2 linked regions of the Rattus norvegicus genome follow. The protein of the gene in region 1 interacts with the protein of each later gene in a biochemical or structural test. Links are inferred from orthologs where the notes say so. Each region holds a gene or a part of one and is shown on either strand. Other genes may lie near its edges. The genes, in order: Psrc1 and Asb7.

Region 1 (11,259 bases):
CCCACTCACCCACTCACTGGCATGTCTGGTCTCTTGCCTAGTCCTATAACTGCCCCAGCCCCTATGCAGATGGGAGGCTGTACCAGCCTTACGGAGATTCGGCCGGCTCCTTGCACAGTGCCAGCCGCTCAGGCAAGAGTCAGCCCAGCTACATCCCCTTCTTGCTGAGGTGAGCCCGGGAAATGGGAGAGCTGGGAAAGAGGGAAAGACTGCATGCTAGAACCAAGGCCGGCCAGCTGCTAGGAGCCGAGTGTCTCAGACTGCGGCCAACACAGGTCACAGTTTAGAAGCAGTAAGGGACACAAGGTAGGGCCTGGGAATCTCACTAGAGAGGCCAGACTGACCCCTACAGCATAGTCTTGTCTTTTTAGGGAGGAGTCCACGCTGAACCCTGGCCAGGTTCCCCCTGGCCTAGGGGACCCAAGTGGCCTATTCATGGAAGGCCAAGCCCAGCAACACGGTGAGGACAGAGGCCTTAGATGCCTAGCAGGGCAGGGGCCTGGCTTTTGCTGAGGGCGGGCTGGGGCAGGTGGGACAGTTGTGATCCCTCCCTGACCTCCCAGATCCCGACACGGACTCTGACAGTGACCTGTCCCTGGAAGATGACCAGAGTGGTTCCTACGCTTCTACCCACTCATCAGACAGCGAGGAAGAGGAGGAGGAGGCCGCCTTCCCTGGCGAGCAGGGCTGGGACAGCCTGCTGGGTCCTGGAGCTGAGAGACTGCCCCTTCACAGTACCCCCAAGGGTGGGCCAGCACCAGGGCTGCAGCCATTGGGGGGGCAACGGAAGCCTAAGAGGCTAGGGCTTCTTGGCTATCCTGTCTACCCTCTCTGGGACTCATAGGCTTCCTTTCTTTGACAGATGGGGGTCCAGGGTCTGGGAAGGTCCCTTGGCCAGGAGACTTTGGGACCACAACAAAGGAGAATAGTGGTAGTGGGCCCCTTGAAGAGCGGCCACGGGAGAATGGAGATGCTCTAACTCGGGAAGGGTCTCTGGGACCCCTTCCGGGCCCTTCTACCCAACCTCACAAAGGTTAGTGAGGAGTCTCCTCCATCTGCTTCACTCTCGCATCCTCTTGCTGGAATTTTAGAATGCTCCATCTCATGGTACCCACACCTCTTACCCAGGCATCCTCAAGAAGAAGTGTCTGCCCACCATCAGCGAAAAGAGTAGCCTCCTAAGGTTGCCCCTGGAGCAGGGCACAGGGTCTTCCCGGGGCTCCACCGCCAGTGAGGGCAGCAGGAACGGACCTCCTCCACGCCCACCACCGCGCCAGTCTCTCCAGGAACAGCTGAATGGGGTCATGCCCATCGCCATGAGCATCAAGGCAGGCACTGTGGATGAGGACTCTTCTGGCTCCGAGTGAGTAGGGTTGGGTGGGAGGGGCGGGGCGTTACCTGCAGAGGTCCTCGCCGGCCCAGAGCTGCCTCGGCCTCACCAGGCTACTCTGCTTGCCACTTGAAAGAGTTAGTTGGGCTTAGTGGAGCCCAGCTCCCTTGTGCGCCCAGACAACATGGTGCTCTGTTGGGGGTGTACCAGACCCCCTGAGCTTTATGTGCAGCCGCCCGGCCGCAGTAGTGCGAGAGGGTGGGAGCTGGGGCTGCTTTTCTGTTTCTTTCTCTGGTGGAAGCTGCTCACTGTCCCCTCTGTTGCTCCAGCTAACCCTCTGTCTGCCTTCTCTGCCGCTCTCCTCTCCTGCCTCTCCAGATTTCTCTTCTTTAACTTCCTGCATTAACCCTGGGCCGGCGTTCCTTCGTCCCCTCCCCACGCTGCGCTCACGCCCCAATCCTGTCTTCTGCTTTATCCTGCCCCTGCTCCCTACCTCCTGCCTGCCTGCCTGCCTGCCGGAGCAGCAGCGACGGACCGTCCATCTGAGGAGCCTGGGCCTTGCACCTATAAGGCCATCTAGTGCCAAGTCTCCCCCCACCCCTCAACCTCCCCTTCACTGCACTTTGGACCCTTGGGGGCCAACATCTCCAAGACAAAGTTTTTCAGAAAAAAAAAAAAAAGGAAAAAAGAATTTTAAAAAGGATCTCCACTCTTCATGACTTCAGGGATTAATTTTTTTTTATACGCTGGAAATGGATTTCCCTTTCCCTTCCCAAAGAGGATAGGACCTCCCAGGATGTGTCCCAGCCTCTCTTCAGTTTCATCTGCTGTGCCTCTGGGAGGAGAGGGACTCTTAGGGGTCCTGCCCCTCATTTGCCATCACCAAAAGGAAAGGACAAAGCCACACCCACCAGGGGTTGGAGCCCCTGCAAGGCTGCACCAGCAGGCTGCACCGGAAGGACGGACAGGACAGAAAAAAAGGCACTTCCCACCCGCCAGTTCCACCTCTCCCAGGAACTGAAAAGCCCTGTCTGGCCAGGGGCAGAAGGACTCATGGCCCCTGGATCCCCCAAATGCTGCATGAACCGTTTTTTAAGGGGAAACCTGTGCCCCCGTGATGGGGAATGACAACCCCAGCCCCTCTCCTTTTCCTGGACTCTGGCCGAGTGCTACAGTCCAGGTGTTTGCTCAGTTCGCTGACCCCAAAGTGCTTCATTTCTCCTGCCCAACCTTGTAGGGAGGGCCAGTCACTGTTAAGTTGCGCTTCTTTGCTGTGTGGGCGGGCACCAGGAGGAACGAGGAAGCACAGAGCTGGCTTGGTGGCCCTGAGGGGCCTCGAGCACAGGTTTCAAGTCTGGGTTCTGGTGTCCACTCACCCCCTCCCCGCCAAATCAGACAAATGCCACTTTGTCTGACCTGCTGTGGCCTCTGAGACATGTTCTATTTTTAACCCCTTCCTGGAATTGGCTCTCTTCTTCAAAGAACCAGGTCCCCCGTTCCTCGTTGTCCCCCTACTTGACCCCAGTTCCCTGCGAAGAGAGAGTTAATATATTTTTTATTTATTTGGTTTTCTTTTTGTGTGTGTTGGGATGGGTTTGTGTCTGGTCCCAAGGGGTCTCATGTGGCCACCCCCAGGCTGGGTGCGTACCTGGCAGCCCTGGATTTGGGGCCTACCATCCTTCCTCTTGCTCCACTTACTCCCCTCGGTTCTTACCAGCCACCGTTCACTCGAGCCACCCTTCCCTCTGAGCATGTATTCCGGACTTGTCACTGACTTCCCCTTTAGAGCAGGTGGTAGAGTGAAGGCTCTCAGCAGGAAAGGTGTTCCTGCCCCTCACCTGGAAGGCTGGCCTCTGGCTTGTCTTCCATGGGTTCTCACCTGCCCTCTGCCCTCTCCCCTCAGCAATTCCTGTAAAGGGTTAAAAATTTAACTGGATTTTTTTTTTAAACTACTGATGACTTGACTTAAAAAAATACAAAGATACTGGATGCTAACTTGATACTAACCATCAGATTGTACAGTTTGATTGTTGCTGTAAATATGGTAGAGTTTTGTTTTTGTTTTGTTTTTCGCCCCCATACTACTGAATAAACTAGTTCTGTGCAGGAACCGTGCCATCACTGGCTTCTGTATAGCAGCCTTGGGCAGAGGCCTAGATTTTGGGAAACAGTTTAGGGAGAACCTTGAAGATTCCAAGGACAGAGAGACTAAAGCCTTATCAGCAGACCTTGAAGGAAGAGAAGACGGGTGGGTAGGTGGGTATTTCCCTCTCCTAAGATAACAGACTTGTATGCTGGAGAGACTACACAGAGAGCTGAAACAAGTGTTTTTAGGGCAGAATTCAGTAGAAAGGAAGGAATGAGAGTGAGAGTTTCTGGGGGCTTGTTTTCTTTTGCTTTTTGGGTTTTTTTGTTTTGTTTTGTTTTGTTTTGAGACAGGGTTTCTCTGTGTAGCCCTGTCTTCTCTGAAGCTCACTCTATAGATCAGGCTGGCCTCAAGCTCAGAGATCCGTCTGCCTCTGCCTCCCAAGTGCTGGGATAAAGTGTACCAGCACCACCTGGCTCTTGGGGACCATTGTGTTGTTTGTTTTGTTGGGGAAATGAAGCATATACTCATTCTGGGGACAAGCATGCTTGGTGACACTTCTAGTCTTACACATTTGTTTTTGAAAGGTCCAACCAACAAAACAGGGTTGATATATGAGCCACATGAAGGAGCCTGATTTGTCTGAGCTTTGGTTCCTCTGTGTACAAAACAAGGACGGTGGTAACAGCATCGGCCTAATTGAGCTTTTAGGAGGATTGAATAACTTAACACATGCAAAGTGCTTACAATTTTTCACAGTGCATAGCAACACTGGCTTTTCCTGTTGTTGCTTGTGGAGTGGAAGGGGTGTGGTGGGGAGAGAGCAAGTTAGAAATCCAAACCAGAGGGGAGGAGGCAAGCAGGTAGCTAAACAAGAAGGGCAGCTGTGGCAGGTAGGCACTACCGAGTGAATGCCTCTTCAGCAGCTTTAGAGCCAGGGAGCCCTGTGGGGTGGAGGTAGAAACTCAATATTGACCCAGCAAGAGAGAACGTGCCTTGCCCACTCCAGCCACCAGGTGGCAGCAACACGAGGGTTTGTGGCTGACTTTGCTTCACCACCTACAGGGGCTTGGCTCAAAAACCAAACAAAACCAGCCAAACAAAACCAACCTGCCACCTACTGGCCATGCCTAGGTGTGTGTTCTTAGGCTTGCAGCTACTACAGATCCAGTTAGGGGGGGAGGTTGCCAGCAACTCCTGTTCCTGGAGTTCTGTGCGGTGATTTATCCACTCAGATGGAGGCCCAGGAGATCAAGAGGACCCTGCTACAACTGGCGGGTAAGGTTGCCCTCTTTATAGCCCATCCAATAGACCTCCCCCTGGACTAGGCTGTTTGAAGGAAGAGGAGGTAGGCAGGAGTCTGGGAAACACCGGAGGCAAGAAAGCCTGGTGACACATTTGTTCAAAACACAACCCATGGCATCTGTGTATTCTCTCCCTCCCACAGGTCAGCTCTGAGAATTTCAGTGGCTGTAGAAACTGGTGTTCCAGATTCAGGGAAAGGGGAACGCAGAGGCGCACTGCTGTGTGTCTGTCTAGTCTCTATGCACTTAAGAGTGTATTAAATGAATCTTATGGTCAGCCATAGAAGAGGGTATGCTACGGAGGGCCCCTGATGGTGGGGACGGGGAAGACCGAAGGCCTAGGAGCACTTATGGGCACAGGCATGGGTGGACACAGTTGCCAGCCACCGGCTACTCCTCCTCCTCTGCTTAGTTACCTTTAGGAGAGTTTCTTCCTCATAAAGGGCTGATTTAGCTCTGCCTGCAAGTGTCAAAGGTTACAAACCAGGAGGAGGTCCTAAGCTGGACTTGTTAGAACCGTGTCCTGTTTTCAGTAAATACCAACCACCATGTGCTCATTCTATATGAGTTCAGTGCTCCACCCTGGACAAGGGCACAGGGAACATTTCTCAATTCTGATGCCAGTCCTCAAATCCAGTAGGGGAGCAGAGAAGGGAGCACAGACAACTCTAATGGTGTGAGGCAGATACTACTAGGCCTTCTGAGTCCGGCTGAAGCAACCTCAGAAACTGAACACCAACAAAGGGCCTCCTTATCCCCCAAGGGGTTCCACTGTCTTGTTAGAAATAATAGTGAAGTTTAAGATAGGAGTAACAGTAGACTTAGTTCCCAGCCTAACAGCCTCAGGCGCTGTAGATGAAGCTACAGTCAACTTTGAGCTGGACTATCTGTAGACATTAAACTGCAGAAAGGAGGCTTGAACCGGATCAAATGGCAACAAGGGACTAGTCACAGCTGGATGAGCTGGAGGTTGAAAGCCCTAGGGTCTATGTCTGGGGGAGGTCTCACTAGAATTACACAGATGTTTACTTTAAAAAATGTTAAAATCTACTTTTAGGTATAAAGAAAAACATTTTTAATTCATTTTATTTAAGAAAAAATATGAAGATGTGAGCTTATAACTGATTGGCCTGTGAGAGGTCACAGAATTCATAGGAAACAAGTTCTGCACACCAGCTGCCCTCTGGCCTTTCCAAACAAGCCAGAATCCAGTGAAGGAAGCCAGTCAGGAAGACCTGTCCTAGAGCCCAGGAAGACTGGCCGGTTCCTAAGGCCACTTCTATGGAAACAGCCAGTGGTCTGGGCAGAAGGTCAAGCTCTCTAGGCCTGACCACAAGATGGAAGGAGGCAGATAGGTCACTCTGCCTGCATTCATCATTTTGTTTGTGAATTTCTTCACGGGGGTGGGGGGTGGGTATGTGTGTGACCTCTGCCTCTCCCTTCTTCCTTCAGGCAGGGTCAGGGGTGTGTGTGGGGGATTTGAGTCTTCTCAAGTTCCACCCACCCCACCTCCATGGTCTCTACTTCAGAGATCAGCCTTGGAGGCACCTCTTCCTCCCATCTCTGGGCACGAATCACTGGAGTTAGGGACCGCTGGCAGGAGAGTCCAGCCTTTGATGGCTAAGATGTAGTGGCTTGCTTTTCAGTCTTTGTTTGCTGCCCTGATCTTCTTACCTGAAGACAGAGAGGGGTCTGCTTTAGGACACCTTCTTCCTCTTGAGCCTATCTGGTACCCAGCCAAGGTCACACCCCTCAGGATGGGGGAGAGCAGTGCCCTCTCCCCTCTCTTCCCCACTCCACACAAAATCCAAGGATGCTGCATAGCAGCTTGGAAGCTGGGGCGATGAGAACAGAGGAACCAGTCTTACCTCGTGGGTCCAGGGACTGCAGCTTTCCTGAGGGGCTGCACCCTGCCTCGAGCGGCACTGGAGGTCCTGCCTCGAGCAGCACCAATGGTTGGAAGATTTGTTCGCTGGGAAACAGGAGCTTGAGGGGGATTAACAAGAGATGAGTCAGAGCCAAGCTCAGCTGACCTCATCAGAAGGAAAGACTGGATGAAGTTATGCACTTCCTAACCAAGATAAAACTGGGAGCTACGTGGAAAGCAAGGTGCTCCCTCCTTCAGTTTTCCTAGCTGAAGTAGTGTCACAGCAGTTAAGCTGTAGGGGGGTAAGGTCAAGCTGGGTCACAGCAGACATTCTTCTATCTAAGGTCCTCTGTTTCATTTTGTTTCCTTGATTTTTGAGACAGGATCTCCCTATAATAGCTATGGCTGTCCTGGAACTCACTCTGTATACCAGACTGGTCCTGAACTTACAAATCTGCCTCTGCCTCCCAAGTGCTGGGACTACAGGCATGGACCATCATGCCTACCTCTAATTTTTTTTTTCTTTCTCTCTTGAGACATGGTTTGCTATAGCTAAGGCTGACCTTGAACTTCTTATTCTCTGGCGCCTACGCTCCGAGTGCTGAGACTGCAGAAATGTGCTGCTGTGCTTAACCTGACCATTAGCCCGTCCACGCTATCTTACCTCTGTGCCCTACGGTGCTTGGATGCCCTTTCTGAGTTGGGAGAGGATCAGGAGCTAGGGCACCTTTGCCAGCCGGTATACTCCGTCCAGTGAGTGGCATTCGGATGGCAGGCTTGGGGATGGCTGAGGGAAATGGTAGTCGACTTGAAGACTTGGCAGCTGCTCCCTGCAGCCAGGAAGAGCACTGGGAGTTGCTAGCTGAGGACTGTGGAGCTGGCCTGACAGGGATTGGTGGGCCTGTAGACAGGAGTATACACATGTCAGGGTGGGTCCCAGCTCCTCTCGCCCCCTTATCAGCTTCACCCACATCTGTGCTGCCCAGGTCTCACTTGCTACTGTCCGTGCGCCGGACCCAGTTTTCCGCCGAGGAGGAAGAGTTGGTTGTGCAAGAGGAGAACGCCCTGGGTTTTTGGATGCAGAGAACAGATTGCAAGTGGGTGATTCCTGAAACAGAACAAGGAACAAAAAAAGGATTAGAATGGTGACAGGATGTGTATGCTGCCTTAAGGCATTAAGGAAAGGAGATAGGCGGTAGGGCGTTGTCTGGAACCTGTGAGGAAGACACCAGCAAGATCTGTGCTAGGCGCTTTCTTTCTTCCCTTCTCTTTCTTCCTTCCTATCTCTCTCTCTCTCTCTCTCTCTCTCTCTCTCTCTCTCTTTCTTTCTTTCTTTCTTTCTTTCTAAGCATAGTTTCTCTGTGTAGCCCTGGCTGTCCTGGAACTCACTCTGTAGACCAGGCTGTCCTCAAACTCACAAATTCACCTGCCCCTGCCTCTAGAGTATAGGGATTAAAGGCGTGCCGCCGCCGCCGCCACCACCACCACCACCACCACCCAGTTACTTTCTTTTTTTAAAGTCATTTTATATTCATTTATTTACTGTGCGTGACATACACATATATGGCACATGCATGTGGAAGTCAGAAGACGCTGTGTGGGAGTGTGCCCATTATGTAGGGAGTCCTCACATGTAGGTTACAGAGAGGGCTCATCAGCCCTGATGGAAAGTGGTGTTATCAGGCCATCTTACCAGCCTTACTATTTTTTGAAATGAGGGAGTCAAGTGGCCCACGTTGGTCTCAAGTTCGGCATATAGGTCCCTGTGGATGACCTTGAATCCCTGATCTTCCTGGCTCTATCTCCAGAGTCTTGGATCACAGTATGTACTTGTTCTTTTACATTAGTCATGTGATGCTGGGGAATCCAACCCAGGGCTTTGTTTGGGCTAGGCTACGTCTGGCTGTGTCTCCAGCCCTGTTTACTTAATCCTAAGAATCTCAGGGGTAGAATAACTGTCTCCCTCTGCCCAGGAAGAGAACCACGCTGTGCCTTCAGTGTCTCCTGCACTTGGTGTAGGTGCACGCACGCAATTCCACCCTCCGCACTCACCTTCTTTATACTGGAGGGCTTCTTCCCAGCTGTCACCCGACCAGCTCTGGCTGACCCCTTTTTATCACTGCTCCGGAGCCCAGTTAAGTTGCTTGGAGGTGGGGCACTCCAAGAACTCACAGTGGGCAGCAGATCTCGGACAGGGCTGTCCTTTAGGACAAATGTCTCCCGCCGAGGGCTGGGTTTCCCTCTGGGGCTGGGCCTCCCAGGGCCTGCGGCAGCATTCTCGCTGTCTTTCAGGGCACACTCCTCTAGCTGAGCTGCCAGGCGGTTGGCTTCATCAAGGATCTCCTCCAGCTTCTCTGGGCTGAGCGGGCCTAAGCTGAACCTCACACCCTGGAGGGCGGGAGCTACTGCGTTTGGGTTACTCCGATGGGAGAGGCCGCGTCGGAGTGGTTTCTCTGGACTCACTAATACTGTGATGTCTTCTTCCTCGTGACTGAAAAAACAAATATGGCACCATGCTGGACAACAGAGAGCAGAAGGCATTCCTGTAGATGACTCGGGGACAGTCCCAAACCCTGACTCCGTTTTGGCCATTAGAACTGCACTTAGCTGAGGAAAACTTGGTTCTGGGAGGCCCTGCAAGTCTTTAGCGTCTCCTGTTTTCTTTTCATTTCTACTCCCCACTTTCTGAGACAAGGTCTCAACTCTGTAGACCAGAATGATCTCAAATTCAACTCTCTGCATTCCCTCTCCCTCCCTCCCTCTCTGTACCCTCTTCTATCCTGGGGTGCGGAGGTGGGAGGTGGTCTGCAGGGCATGTCTCAACATGCCCAAGCACATTTACTCTTCGTTTACATTTACCCCTAAATTTCCCTCCATCCTCTCCCTTCTCCTCACCAGCATGCAGAGATGTATCCTAGAGGCCCAATTCTCCCAGACTGCGGGCACCAGAGCATACTATACTCTGCTAAATCACCAACCACGGTTCTTGAGGTCAGTAAGTTAGCAGTAAAGGTTACAGATAAAGATGTATTGTTGGAGGGAGATAATAAATGGATAAATTGACTGGTACCTGTCAGATGGGGACAGCCCTCCAAAGTCCAAGGTCTCATCCACGATGAACTTGATATCTGAAGGGATAAGAAAAATAAATGCCAGCTCTCAGTTCTTGACAGACAGATTCTGAGGGCCTCGTTCCTCCCTCCATGGCTTCCTTACCCTCTTTCAAATCCTCCATGCCCAGCCAGCATAAGCGAGTCAGCTTAGACCTGAAAGACAACATGCCTATCTTAGCGCCCCATCTAGACTCGGGGTGCATTAGCTGGGGTGAAGAGCCATGGTGGTGGGAAAGCAAGATCACTGGAACAGCACGTGCCCCTGAAACTAGTCGGTTATAATAGGGAAAGAGGCAGAAAGCTCGTGCCCCAACACCTGCAATCCGCCAATTTGCGCCCTGGCCTCTCCTCAGTCTGGCAGTCTCCACCTCCATCCTTATTATTATCCGGAATTTTCCTCCCCCTACCCCGGCCATCTTCCACTCCGCCGCACCACATCCCCGCCACACCTCCAGCGCACACTCCGTTTCCACTTCCCACCTCGCCTCAAGGTTTACGCAGGAAGCTTTTCTTCTACAATCTCCTAGTTCCCGGGAATAGGCTCCCGAGGGGTGGAGCTTCGTTCGAATTTCTTAGGCCCCGCCCACTCCCGCCACCAACGCACAGCGATTGGCGGGTCTACGGGGGCGGGGCTGAGGCGGGAGCTGTCGGGACGTCAGTCGGAGAAATTTGTCCCTTGGATCGAAGCGCACTTCCCAAAAAAGACTCCTGGGGGAGGTGGGGGGGGTACGGTGGGGGTGGCGGGAGGAGCCGCGAGTGCGCGGTGGCGCGTTCGGGAGCGCCTCCTTTTAGCCGCGAGCCGAACAAGGAGAGAACTGCCCAACCAACATGGGCTTGGAGCCCCGCCTCTTCTCCCACCCCATCTCCTGGATTCCAGGCTCAGGGTTTGGGGCTCGCTGCTGGGTTTCTGGCTTACTTGCAGAGGCCACCAAATAGACCATTTCTCCAGCACCTGAAGCACAAGAATTCTTCATTTAGCACAAGATCACTTCTCTGAGATAATCTGATATTTTTTCTTTCTGCTTCAACCACGACCCCAAAACGATGACTGTGAACAGCTATTTAAGGGTCTGACAAAGAAATCATGCTTCCAGGCACACAGTAGGTAGTAAAAATAATAAAAGATTTCAGGGCAATGCTCTCTAAGTGCAAAATGGATTGCCTATCGCTAGGGATCTTGTTCGTGTGAGGATTATGTTCCTTCTTCAGAATGCTGGAGACCGTGAACTTTAATGGTGGGCCCATGAAAAGTTCAGCAGATCCTTGGGGCACAGTCACCTTCCACCCTAGCCCTGCTTCAAGTGGAAAGAAACCTTTACTGTTGTGAGTGTTGTTAACTGGCTATGACCTGACTGACCACTCTTTTCCATTCATTGATACACACGCATGCACACATATACCATCTCTTTCGTTCCCCTTTATATGTAGCTCACACGGGCCGTGAATTCACCATATAGCCAAGGATGATGTTGAAATCCTGCGTCTACCTCCCAAGTGCTGGGATTAAAGGCCTGTGCCACTATCCTGTGGATCATCCTCGAGACAGCTCCAAATGTCTT
Region 2 (12,615 bases), on another chromosome or scaffold:
AAGATAAGTGCCAAAGGGTCACTTAACAGCCTGTGACAACACTACCTGTTCAAGATGCAAGCAAGACTGCAGCTCAGAAGGGACCCAGGAGAAGCTGCAGCTGGCTTCACACTTAGTGTTGAACAGTTTGTGTGCTTTCATTATTTGTATGCAACATGTTCTTAGTAAAAGACCAATACACCAATTACAGAGGAACAAGTGAAAGCATTACTGGCCAGCGAGATGGCTCAAAAGCACTTGCTGTACAAACCTGATGCTCTGAATTTGATCCCTGGAAGGAAAGAACTGACTCCTGGAAGTTGACCTTCATAAGCAGTTCTTGGCATGTGTCTCCGCAGTATCATACACTAGTAATAGCAAATCAAAAGTGTAAGTAAAACTGTCTTGATGTGTATATGTGTGTACATTTGTATGTATATATGTATACACATCTATCTGTCTATCTATCTATACACACACACACACACACACACACACACACACACACACACACACATAATGTATGAAAACTAAAAGTATGTATGGAACTAGATTGTAGACCAGTATTACAAAACTCAAGTTCTGCCATCAGTTAACATCTGGAGGATGAAGTAGCAGCCCATAATAGCAACAATTTAAGGTTTTTAATAGTAATTTTAATTAAATATATTGTCTATATGAAACATTGCTGGGGTGGATTAAAGAAGTTGTAAAAAAGTAGAGAAGTCTTTGTGTTCATTACATGGAAAATTAGTATTATTTAGATCATTTGGGGAAGTTTGCCATCTGTAAAGTTGGTGGAATTAGAACAGTAAAAATTAGGCCAGGCTTGTATGAAGAAACTAAAAATGTACCTTGAAAATGTATTAGCTGAAATAAGTTTTAGAACAGTTGGAGGAATTAACACTACCCGATATCAGACATGCTGCAAAGCTACAATAGTTAGCAGTCTGGAATTGGCATGGTCAAAACTCTTGTTCAATTGCATCTTTTTCTGTATACTGGGGTTGGACGAAGGGCCGTGTGTATGCTGGGTAAGCCTGATGCCACTGAGCTTCATCCCTGGAGTGCCATTGACATGGGCTTTGATACTTAGCTTATTCTGACCTTGAACCTGTTCCCAGGCTGGCCTCAAACTCACCGTCCTTCTGCCACCATCTTTGAGTTTGTGCTACCATACCCAACTAGGAAGTATTTTTAGATAAATGGAATAATTCAGAAATATGATAAAATGAGTTTCAGCAAAGGCAGGGTAAATCATTGAAAAAATATTTCTTTGTGTTTGTCTAAGCAGAGGGGATAGTGTGTGTGTGTGTGTGTGTGTGTGTGTGTGTGTGTGTGTGTGTGTGTGTGTGTACACGTAGTGATCTGCAGACACCTTAGTTCCTTAGGTGTCCATTTTCTTCTTTCTCACTGAAATCTAGGACTAGAACTCAGGTTATCGTATTCTCTTGTTAAGCACGTTTACCTGTCCATTGTCCCCATGCTCCCTAATTTGTAAAGAAAGTATTTTAGCAAACAGGTAGATAGCCATATGGCAAATGATGAACCTTGATCTTACTTTATACCATATACAAGTATTAACTACTAGTAGATCATTGACCTATGTTTATGGGTTTAAAGTACAGAATATCTAGATAAAGTACAGAATATCTAGAATATCTAGAAGAAATGAAAACTTGTAGTGTTGTGTTGGGCAAAGTTTTCTTTAGCAAAGCAGAAATCTAGGAAATGCTTAAAAAAAGAAAGTGAATTTGATGAAATCAAGGAGAGCCAAGTGTAGATCAGTGGTAGGGTGCTTGTCTGTGTTCAGTCTCCAGCATTGCAAAGATAAATCCATGAATAAGCATCCTTTACTTGGCCCATGTGCAGAATATGCAAACCTTTATAACTCCATAGAAGGACGTCCCAGCGGAAATGAGTAGACACTGACAGATAATCCACAGGAAAGCGTACAAGTAGGCCAGCTCTCTAGATCCCTGAAATGTGAATTGACGGCACACAGCTCATCATTTACCCTTTTAATGGGCAAACTTAAAAGTGGTCCTGATGCCATGGAGCCTCGCTGGCAAGGACAGTGGCAGGGTAGCCACCGACAGCAGGCTGCACAGCGGCTTCTTGACATCAGAGTCCACCATTCCCTTCTGTTATGAAGAAGAGACATGGCTGATAGCATTGCTCCCAGAGCCTCCCATCGCAAATAAGGCAGTCCTGCTCAGAAGCATGTGCTAAGTGGATTAGCCAGTCTCACTTCCGCAGGTGACCCCTTTCTAGAGAAAGCCTACAAACCCAAAGTTTTGTCCTTGATCTGCCTTGTTCCCAGAATCTAGGTAGGAAGTTGGTTGTAAAAGGCATGGGGAAAGATCTGCCTTGTTCCCAGAATCTAGGTAGGAAGTTGGTTGTAAAAGGCATGGGGAAAATTTGAGAGGACAAAAGTGTTGTGAATGTTGAGTGCTTTTAGTTAATGTGGCCGTGTGAATTCTTGGAGCTCATCAACCTGTGCCCTTGATACACAAATCTCACTTCCAGTTGCTAAAGCTTTTAGAGAACATCTCGGGCAGCTCAGTGATGTGTCTCTGTTTTTTAAACACAGTCTGTTTCCATGTTTACATTACAATGTTACCTACCATTTGTTAAAATGGGTCTCTTTGGTGGGCGGAGTATCTGGCAAGGAGGAGGAGAAGCTTGTTGGGGTTGATTATTTTAGGCAGAGCACTCAGAAATCTCACTGATAAAGACAAATTGCAATAAACTTCAGGAAATGCAGTTAAGCGGTTTTTGTACGTGCGTTAAGCATTTCTCACAAACCACTGTCCTGCAGACTTTGTTGGTGCTGCAAGTGAGCTCTCACTGCATCGCACTGACTGATCTGAAGTGCATTTTCTTTGCACCCTCACATGCCCTGTTTCATGTTGTCACCTTTTCCTGGGGACAGCGGCTATAGTTTTTATGCATTATTACCCTCTAGTTCTTGCTTCTGTCCTTTGTTCACAGGATGCAGTTGGTTGGTTCATTTGAGTGATTTGTGCAGAGATGAGTCAGGCTACTGTTCTGTGTGAGAATCTGTGTCTTCTTACTTCAGTGTAGCACTAGAATGTGAGCGGAGCCTTACACATGCAGTGAACATTAAATGTGCAACACTTCGTTACAGCTCTGCAGCTTGACTTGTCCACTAGAATGACTGCAGTGTGTGGGTGAGGGTATTGCACCTTCAAAGGTGGGAGGGAGGGGTTCCCAAGATCGCTGAAGGATCAAGAGGGATTATCTGGAAATATGTGGCCAGATACAGCTTAAAGACAGCGTTTTTTCATTGTGGGGTGTGTGTGGGGGGGCCGGGGGGGGGATATGGATTTATGTATATGCATGCAATCCCTGCTGAGACCAGAAGAGGGCGTTGCTTCCCCTGAAGCTGAAGAAGCTAGTGGTTATGAGATGTCTGATATGAGTGCTGGGAACTGGGTCCAGGTTCTCCGATAGAGCAGCAACAGCTCTTGACCACTGAGCCATCTCTCCAGCAGTCACTTCATCTAGATAACAGCAGGGTCTATCTAAAAGACCCATCAGTTTGGTCTGAGATCTCTGGCTTGTAGTGAAAGATGACTAGTGCATGACCACACTCTTCCAGTAGATGGCAGCAGAGTGCTTTGCATCAGGGTTCTAGCTTGCCTGTTGCATAGCCCTAGGTACTGAATATCCTTTAGTTAAAGCCATGCATTGCTGGGGCCTTCTTTTTTGTTGTTGTTGGGTGGTTGTTATCTGTCACTTTGTGTCAGATATTACGAGGAGCTAAAGTAATAGTTTACTTGTACAGGTTCTGTTTGCTAACAACTCTTTAACTGTAGTTTTCATCCACTGCGGTGTTATTAATATTTCAGCATATCATTTTCTGCCTCACAGCCTCTTGTAAGAGAATCCAGCTGTTGTAGTCTGGAACTAAATAATACGATCTTATTAAATAGTACATAAATATTTAACCACATAGCTTTGGAGTCGTTTCGTGCCTGTGAGAAACATCCACGGATATGTGAATAAGAGCTGAGTTGCGTAAGGAGCATTTTAATGCTTGTCACTGGGCCCACCTGGGTGTTCTCCCTCAACTGCTTTATGCGCTTCCAGAACACGGATCCACTATGTGGGGGAGGCAGTTCTTGTCTCTGCTCCACCTACAGCGCAGGGATATCAGTGGGATGTGAGCCACAAAGTGCTGACCTTTGGCACCGTGGAAAAGCCAGAGTAGGTGGCAAAGGTCTGTAGCTCAAAGAGTCACTGAGCAGATGATTCCTATGAAGTTTTCTTCCAAGGGATCTGTTAATTTAGGAGTCTTTAAAACTTACTTTTTAAAGCAATGTTTATATTGTACTGAGGTTTCTTCCATTTTTTTTCAAATAAAGTTCTTGCTGTTACGCCGCAGGACCACCTGTAACTGAGCTCAGTCCCGTGGTACTCACAAGCATGCTGTATCATGCCGTGCCACTCAGCATGGGTCTCACCTGCTGCTTTCATGGAGCATAGGGCGCCTTCATTCTTTGCCTTCACCCACCCCAACCCCTATGAAATTTTAGAACAAGTCCAGCTGAACACAGGGTACTGCAATTCAGAGCAGCAGTGTTGCTGCACACGCTCCCTTTAGGGCAAGAAGTAGCACAAGGGAAAGGCATGAAAATAGCTGGAGACAAAGGGGCCGTGAATCAGGCCCCAATCAGAGGCTGAACAGTCGCAGGCTGGCCAGCAGGAGGGTGAGGTGCTGCAGGGTCTATCTTTAAACAGTGTTGGTCATCTCCCTCCTCCTCCCGTTGACTTAGGCCTGATAGTTTCTACTAGAGTGTGCTTTCCACCGGAGCCTGGGGAGGCCTTAGCATCACTCATTGCACTTAACCCTTCACAGTCTGTGATAACTGGCTCAGCCTGAGAACTCTGTCCTCATAGAGTTGCTCTGTCTCCACAGCCACTGATGTTTTCATTTTGATTTAACTCTAGCTGATCCCACGGTTAAGGATTTAATCGGAGGCTTCACCGCTCTGCACTACGCAGCCATGCACGGCCGGGCCCGGATCGCACGCCTGATGCTGGAGTCTGAATACAGGAGTGACATTATTAATGCAAAAAGCAATGATGGCTGGACTCCCCTCCATGTGGCTGCCCACTACGGTAGGGACTCATTTGTCCGGCTCCTCCTGGAGTTCAAGGCCGAGGTCGACCCGCTCAGTGATAAAGGAACAACGCCACTTCAGCTTGCTATCATCCGAGAGAGGTCGAGCTGTGTGAGAATCCTTCTGGACCACAGTGCCAACATCGACATCCAGAATGGGTTCCTGCTGCGCTACGCTGTGATCAAAAGCAACCATTCTTACTGCCGCATGTTTCTTCAGAGAGGAGCAGACACAAACTTGGGGCGCCTAGAAGACGGACAGACTCCTTTACACTTGTCTGCCCTCCGTGATGACGTGCTCTGCGCACGGATGCTGTATAACTATGGAGCGGACACGAACACAAGGAACTATGAAGGTCAGACCCCACTGGCCGTTTCCATAAGTATTTCAGGAAGTAGTCGGCCGTGTTTGGATTTCTTACAAGACGTCACAAGTATGTAACACCTACTGCTATTATTGCATCTTTCCCCTTAACCCGCGCCTTCTGAGTTGCTTGACATACTTTTGTAATATGAGATGACTAGAAGCTAGCCATTCTTATCAGTCCTGCTTGGTAAGTAAGACTCACCTATCCAAAACCCTGTTGGTTTACTAAAAGTGGACGGTAAAGTTCAGGGTCAAGACAGACACTGTTTTCAGAGTGAATGGAGCTGAATGTTAGAATAAGGTGGTTCCCTCTGGTCTGAGTGATATCCTGGCTGAGACAGCAGGCTCAGATGGAGAATTAGAAGGGTGGGGTCTCAGATTGCTTAGCTATGGGGACAATTTTGCACTTCCTTACTAAGTTCTACATGAAAGCAGGGCCACTCTGGATTGTTTAGAGGCCCCAGTAAGAGAGGCGAAGGAAGATGTGTGAAAACACTAGGACCTAGGCCACAGGTCCCCAGGCCACACGGCTTACATCAGCGTCTGCCCAGCTTCTGAGAGACCCTTCATTTACACCTTCAAGTGTCTAACTCGTCTAACTCAGCAGCAGCTGGTGGCCACATCGTTTTCTGAGGGAGGTGTTAGCTTGCGTGGGCTTTGCTGCCTTCTCTTATCTGGCTTCCCTGCGAGCTCAGTGTATGTATCACAGGTAAATGTGTGAGGCAGAGGTGACGTCTGTAAGCACCTTTGATTAACTCTGCTGTGCTGGTCAGAGTCTCAATGCCTTTCCCCATATGATCTTGATTACAGAAGGAAGGCTGGCCTCTAATTATCATTTATAAGAGGCCAGTTTTAGTTTTAAGTTTTTAAAAAGCCACGGAGTGGAGCAAGTAAGCATGTCCCAGAAGACATGGAGGTGTGTGAAGTGACCGGGCAGTATGGCAGTGAGGACACACAGCCCTAGGCCCTGAAGAGAGGAACTGCCCCTCCCCTAGGCCAGGCTAGAGCAAGGGAGAGTGGGACAATTTGTCTATGTGCCCACATGGACATAATTACAGAGCCGGGAGGGAGGGTCTGGGGTGCTTGGGTTTTTGGGGTTGCATTATAGCTGATGGGGAAAGCAAATTCTGAAAATGCTTTCCTAAACCAAAAGAGGAACTTATTTATACAGATGGAAGGGAGCAGAAGAAATATTGTTGAAAGAGTACAATTATATAACTGTAAATATTCAAAGTGTAGCGCAACCTGAGGTTAGGGTTAACTGATAAAGGAGCCCACGAGAGGAGCTAGTTATGATTTAGCTGAGGGTTTCGTTCTCAGTCTTCCTTCACCACAGTATAAAGCTGTGTAGGTGACCTAAGTACAGACCAAAGAGTTATTAGAATATGGGGTGTTTTTAGAATGTATTTATTTTACTCAGTGTGTTTGGGTATTTTGCCTGCCTATACGTCTGTGTACCATGTGTGTATAGAATCCAACAAGGCCAGAAGGCACTGGGTCCTCTGGAACTAGAGCTCCTGGGGTTGTTAGCTGTCTCCTGGATGTCAGGAGAACCCAGGTCTTCTGTGAGAGCGGTGCTGCTGAGCCGGCCCTCGGAATGCAAAATCTTCCCAAAAGACAGAAATTCTACGAGAGAGCATAACCTCAGGTAGTGACTGACAGGAACTTTGATATTAAAAAGATGAGATTTTTATGACTTCATGCCTGGGATTTTATTACAGAGAAATTGTAGTTTGGGACAATGGCCCATCTAGAAATCCACCAGCTTGGAGTATAGACTAGATGACTGGGTCAGGCGGCCCCTCTGATGCCCCAGCCACTTCTTGGAAAGGGCCGTTAGCTAAGTGTGGTGGTACACACCTCACTGAGACAAGAGGATTTGGGGTTCAAAGCCAGGCAGGCTGTGTAGGAATGGGCCACAGTCACAAGTCCCTGTCTCTAAAATACAAAATAAATAGAGTTGGTGACCTGCAGTTGCTTGTGCTTACAGTATGGAAACCAGCTAGAGTACAGCACCTGAAAGGGACGGCCTCTGCGTGTGGTTGGTGAGGCTGCTTTATGGAAGAGCCTGGGACCTGGAGGGTTCCCTCCTTGTAAATGTTTCCCCTTAGGTCAGAGAGGGCCTTGCTCAGAAAACAGAGTCAGTCAAAGCTGGGTCCAGGCTAGTAGAGTCAGGGCTTTTCTTGGTTGTCTGGTCCTCACCTGGCCATCTCTGCACGGTGTGTGGGAGGGAACCTTACCTCCTCAGAACCGCTGCTTCATTAGGGCAGCAGTTGGAACTTCCTTCAGTCACAGTTACTCTAGGTTCTCTGGCTTACAGTAATTGCAACATCCATTTCATGCCTCAGTCTGGTTGGCTCTTTTTCTTTGTATCTTGCCTTGTGTGGTGTGGTAGTTTTGTTGTTTTTTTTTAAGCTAAGCATGATGTAAAGAGCAGCAAGAATTCAGGTTAATAGTGTGTGCATGTACACACCCTTACTTAATTTAATGTTTTCTATTTTGGTCCTTTTGAGATGGTCCTGGCTATCTAGCCTGGCTTGTGCCTTGCTATCTGCAGACCTACAGCAGATCCCTGCCTCTGCTTCCCTAGTGCTGGGATTATAGGTTTGAGCCACCATACCCTCACCTCTAATAGTCTTATGGGAGGCTTCCTCTTCATCTGGATGGGCATGGGGCTGTGTTCTACGTGACTGCAGGTAGCCCAGTGTGCTAAGTTCTCCCAAGTCTGTGTTTCTTCCCCTCCTCCGCTCTCACCCTCACCCCCTTGACTCCTCCTCAGGCTTGCCCTCTGCTATTACACCGGAGGGCAGCTGCTACAGTTACTGATGTCCAGTATTGTAGGTGGCCCGTGTCCCAGGCCCGTGTCCCAGGCTGCAGCCCTCACAGTGCTTTCACCTACCGTCTGGTAGCTCTGCCTTCAGTCCTGTCAGGTGAGCTAGGAAGCTGAGGAGGCTGAGCTGGAGACATGTTCGTTCTCTGGGGGTCTTTGCCTTACTTATGGAGAGGATTGGGGGGCTGGTTGCACACACCCTCTTCTGTCATATAGTCACCAGGTGCTTTATTGGTCTCACTTATGACCTGGCAGGGCTTCCTTTGACTGGCTCTTGACTTCCTGTCCGTTCATAGCCTCCAGTGTTGCTGTCTATGAGCCTTTGCTCAGGTAAGCACACTGGGCTGATCCTAATCTCCAGAGCTTCGGATGAAGGTGCTCCACCTACAGCTTCAGTCTTTTTGCTTGCTCCAAAATCAGTCTTAGTTTTTAAGGTTGAGCAATTTCTCTGCCTTATGGACTCAGGAATGATGGCGTCTAAGCTCGATGCCTGTGAGAGTTGGAATGGGTCGTCCGTCTGGGTTTACCTTTTTTTTTTAATTTGAAGTGTGCGAGCTTCCTAGCTTCAGTTCTGTGAGCTGCTGAGGATTCCTGTCTCTCCTTCATCACAGGCTCCCAGCTGTGCCCGTTATCAGAGATGCCATCAAACCAGCAGAATGGGGTGCTACAAAGTGCCACAAGTAGCTTGCCTGTGACCCTAGGCAAGCTCTTCAGCCCCTAGACTCACCCCACAGTGATTGGTGCCCTCCTTGAAAAAATGGGAGAACTGAACCAAATTCTTGCCATTAGCCACTTTTATAGGCAGTGGTTTTCTATTACTAGAAAGGAAAGGAAGGGAGGGAGGGATGAAGGAGAGAAGAGAGAAGGTGTGTGTGGGGGAGGCATTGAGAACTGGGTTTTGTTTATTTGTTGTGTTTTTCCAAAGGATGAGCTTCTAGGAGGCTTTAGGGGCATACGGTCCAGATCTTGGAGGGCAACTGCTTCCAGGTTGGCATGACAGTCTGGCTGGTGTGGCACTGATAATAATCACTGTTTTCATCACTGCCAGGCAACCTCAGTCATGAGTATTGCAGCCATCTACAAACGTCCTGGACAAAGTGGTAAACATAACTGAACTGAGTCTTGTCCCTTTGTGCACATACCTTAGCAATGCTCTGTGGAGGAAGGCAGCTTAGTAGGAAAGTGGCAGGTCTGTCTGGGTGGGACTAGCAGCTTTTGCATGGAGAACCATTTCTCTTTGAAAGATTGACTGACAGCCAAACTATACCGTTTAATCGTGGGCACTTAGCAGGACTTTTCTTAGAAACGAACAAAGTTCACTTGTCACATTAAGGAAAATGACCACAGTATTGATGACCAGTCAGACGTGAGCTTTGAAAAGAGGGGTTTTAAAACTTTTTATTTACGTTCTGAGAGTCTGCCTGTGTAATGATTGTCTGAGACCAGTGGGAATATTAAGAAAAGTGATTTCTTTTGCTATTATATAATGAAATTGGCTAACAATGTGAAAACCTAGTGTGTCATGTGTTTCTGATGACTAATTTATGTTACTGTGTGCATGGGCAAAAGGCCCACTAAAAGTTTAAGATATACCAATGGACTATAATCTAAACGTACAAAAAGTTCATCAATGTATTTCAGATTCTGTATCACCGTTGGGACTGGGGAGACGGCTCAGCTGTAGTGTTTGCCCAGCAAGCATGGAGACATCCATCAGTTTGGATAAGCAGCACCCAGATAAAGCTGGGCACGGTAGCGTGCTCTTGTAGCCCAGCGCCAGGCCAGTGAAGACAGGAGGCTCCCTGGGGCTTCCTGGCCAGCTCCCAGCCAGCTGCTGCTGCTCTCCAGCTTTAGTGAGAGACCCCGCCTCAAAAACTAAGGTGAAGGAGCAGTGAGGAAGACAGTATTTACTGCTGGCCTCTACACACATGAACTTACATATGTGTGCAATACACACATGTGCACATGCGTGTACACACGCACACACACACACAACACACACATACACAAACACACACACACAACACACACACACACAACACACACACACACACAACACACACACACACACACACACACACACACACACACACACACACACCAGACTGAAAAAGAAAAAAGCTCACTGTCTCAAGGTTATCTGGAAAAGGCTGTTCTAAGTATTTCTTGCTTTCCTAGCAACATATCTGAATGAAGCTAGCACACTGCATCAGGCTAGCACACTGAAGTTCAGAGCAGATGGAAGGCAAACATTTGTAGGAAAGGAGAAACAGCACTCTCTTCGAAGCCATCTTGTTCTGGAAAGAGACTCTGGTTTTTGCTTGTTTTCATAAAAATTATGTCAGCTGATGAACTGATCACTATTATGGTAAATATAGACCAATATAACCAACTCAAGCACGAGTTCCTTGAAAGATTCCTATTGTAAAGGTACAGAGGCATCTTTCAGCTAAGCAGTATGAATGGAGCACTGTGGAATTTCCACATTTTCAGTGCTGAGGATCAAAGCCTGGGCTATGGACATAGTCAGTAATCAGTCCATGGCCACCATCACCAGGCTACATGCCCAGCAATACATTCAGGTTTTTTCAAGGTATCTTCTCAGCCTCGTGTTTTAGAATTTGAAGAATCCTTAATGTAGTTTTGATTAAAGTTAAAATCTGGATGAGCTGCAAGCTTGCCTTACACTTGCATGCTGTGGCTTAGGCTCTGGAGAGACCCCTCCTTCCTGGCTGGCATTTATTAAAATTGTGGCTTTGCTGACTCAGGATAAGTGGTTTCTATCCGTTGGGAATTTTAGTACCTTGGATCCTGGAGGAAGTTTGCAGACACAAGTATGCACAGAACATGGCAGACATTGCCAGGTCCCAGGTAACTAAACTGTCCATCCACCTTGCTGGTATGGCCTGCTTCTACTGTACAGCATCCTCCTGTTCCATGGCTGGGCTAGACTGTCCTTGGCTTCACTGAGTTGATCGAGTCTATGCTCTACGTCCTAAGACACTGAGCTGAGGCGCTTGCCTGTGTATCAGAAGCATCATGCACAGACTTGACTCACCAGCACATGCTTTCAGTGCCGTGTGAAGGTAGACCTTGGGTGGATTTTGATTTGTGTGTTTTAAGGAATTAAATAGCTCATAATGCTAAAAGGAAAAAGTGAAGTGGTTGGGAATTGAGTTGTGTAAACTGTTTCACAGGAGACTTAATCTGTCAAGTACTTAAGATAGTCACTTGTTGGAACATTAATCACAGATGTTTAAAAATACTGTTTTATAAATATTGGAGTAACCAGAAATATGTTTTTGTTTAGATTTCAGTAATAGTCAAGTACTATATTATTAAAACACACAGACACACACAAAGTACTATGTTTACAGAAATACGATTTGAGACTAAAAGTAAAAATGAAGAAAAAAAAGAGAAAAAACTTTTGAGGCCTGGGTGTAGAGGGTGGGGATGGGGGCTTGGAATGGTGTCTCTGTAGTAGAATATATGCTTACTATGCAAGAGGCCCTGGGTTCAATCCCTAGCACCAACACGCTAACAAAAAGGACTTCTCAGTTTTTTAAATTTTAAGGAAGTCAAACGGGCTGTGGCTTTCTGAGCTAAATCCAGCCCAGAGTAGTGTGTGAGTAGATTCACCCCACAGCCTGGGTGACAGCTGCCCTGACCTACTATGCTCATCCCTAGTGCTTCTGTTGTCATTTTATGGGATGACCTTTTATAAGTTTACTTTCCCTGTGGAGAAATTTCTGTGACACATCTTAACTAAGGGTCTTTAATTTCTTTTTTCCTAGTGAATTGGAAATTTTGCCAGACCATCTACATTAGAGCCTTTACAAGAGTTTCTACTGTTAACATATTAAAAACCATTTTCAGACATGAACACTGTCATCATTCAGATAATACCACATTTTAGGTTCTTCTATTCTGACTGAGTAGAAAGGCTCTTCTCCCACACCACCTTGAGGTGTTTATAATCCCCACCATTACTGCTGCTATGGGTGCCTTGTCTCAAATGTAAACTGTGGGTCATTTTGGCTTGACTCTGTTACTTTTCTACCACTGTGATAAAACACCATGACCAAGGCAATTTATAGAAGAAAGAGTTGATTTGGTTCCAGAGGATTAGAGGCTGTGATGACAAAGGCATGGCAGCAGAAGCAGGAAGCACAAGCCACAAGCAGTAGGCAGAGAGTAGACTAGCGAAAGGAATGGCTTTAAACTCGCAAAGCCCACCTCCGGTGACGTGCTTCCTCCATCAAGGTCACACCTCCCAAGCTACCCCAA

Evidence for each region.
Region 2: of the proteins of Psrc1 (region 1) and Asb7, one has a biochemical effect on the other in vitro, tested with the Homo sapiens proteins (2 studies listed by BioGRID, with this or other methods). The link is inferred for Rattus norvegicus from reciprocal best matches to the Homo sapiens genes PSRC1 and ASB7.

Annotation. Positions count from the first base shown.
Region 1 is NC_086020.1:198,709,514-198,720,772, reverse strand, and holds Psrc1 (proline/serine-rich coiled-coil protein 1), read right to left. Parts: upstream 10,225-11,259; 5' UTR 10,181-10,224; exon of another isoform or gene 10,139-10,180; coding exon of another isoform or gene 10,017-10,138; intron 9,854-10,016; coding exon of another isoform or gene 9,823-9,853; coding exon 9,804-9,822; intron 9,716-9,803; coding exon 9,658-9,715; intron 9,079-9,657; coding exon 8,640-9,078; intron 7,696-8,639; coding exon 7,581-7,695; intron 7,489-7,580; coding exon 7,252-7,488; intron 6,707-7,251; coding exon 6,589-6,706; coding exon of another isoform or gene 6,585-6,588; intron 6,395-6,584; coding exon 6,391-6,394; 3' UTR 5,781-6,390; downstream 1-5,780. Other genes in the region: Celsr2 (cadherin EGF LAG seven-pass G-type receptor 2 precursor), read left to right, coding at 42-169, 372-460, 564-746, 863-1,033, 1,129-1,363, 1,709-1,736. UniProt on the Homo sapiens protein: Required for normal progression through mitosis. Required for normal congress of chromosomes at the metaphase plate, and for normal rate of chromosomal segregation during anaphase. Plays a role in the regulation of mitotic spindle dynamics.
Region 2 is NC_086019.1:129,640,794-129,653,408, reverse strand, and holds part of Asb7 (ankyrin repeat and SOCS box protein 7), read left to right. Parts: intron 1-4,956; coding exon 4,957-5,562; coding exon of another isoform or gene 5,563-5,570; intron 5,571-9,966; coding exon of another isoform or gene 9,967-10,094; exon of another isoform or gene 10,095-10,205; intron 10,206-12,615. UniProt on the Homo sapiens protein: Probable substrate-recognition component of a SCF-like ECS (Elongin-Cullin-SOCS-box protein) E3 ubiquitin-protein ligase complex which mediates the ubiquitination and subsequent proteasomal degradation of target proteins.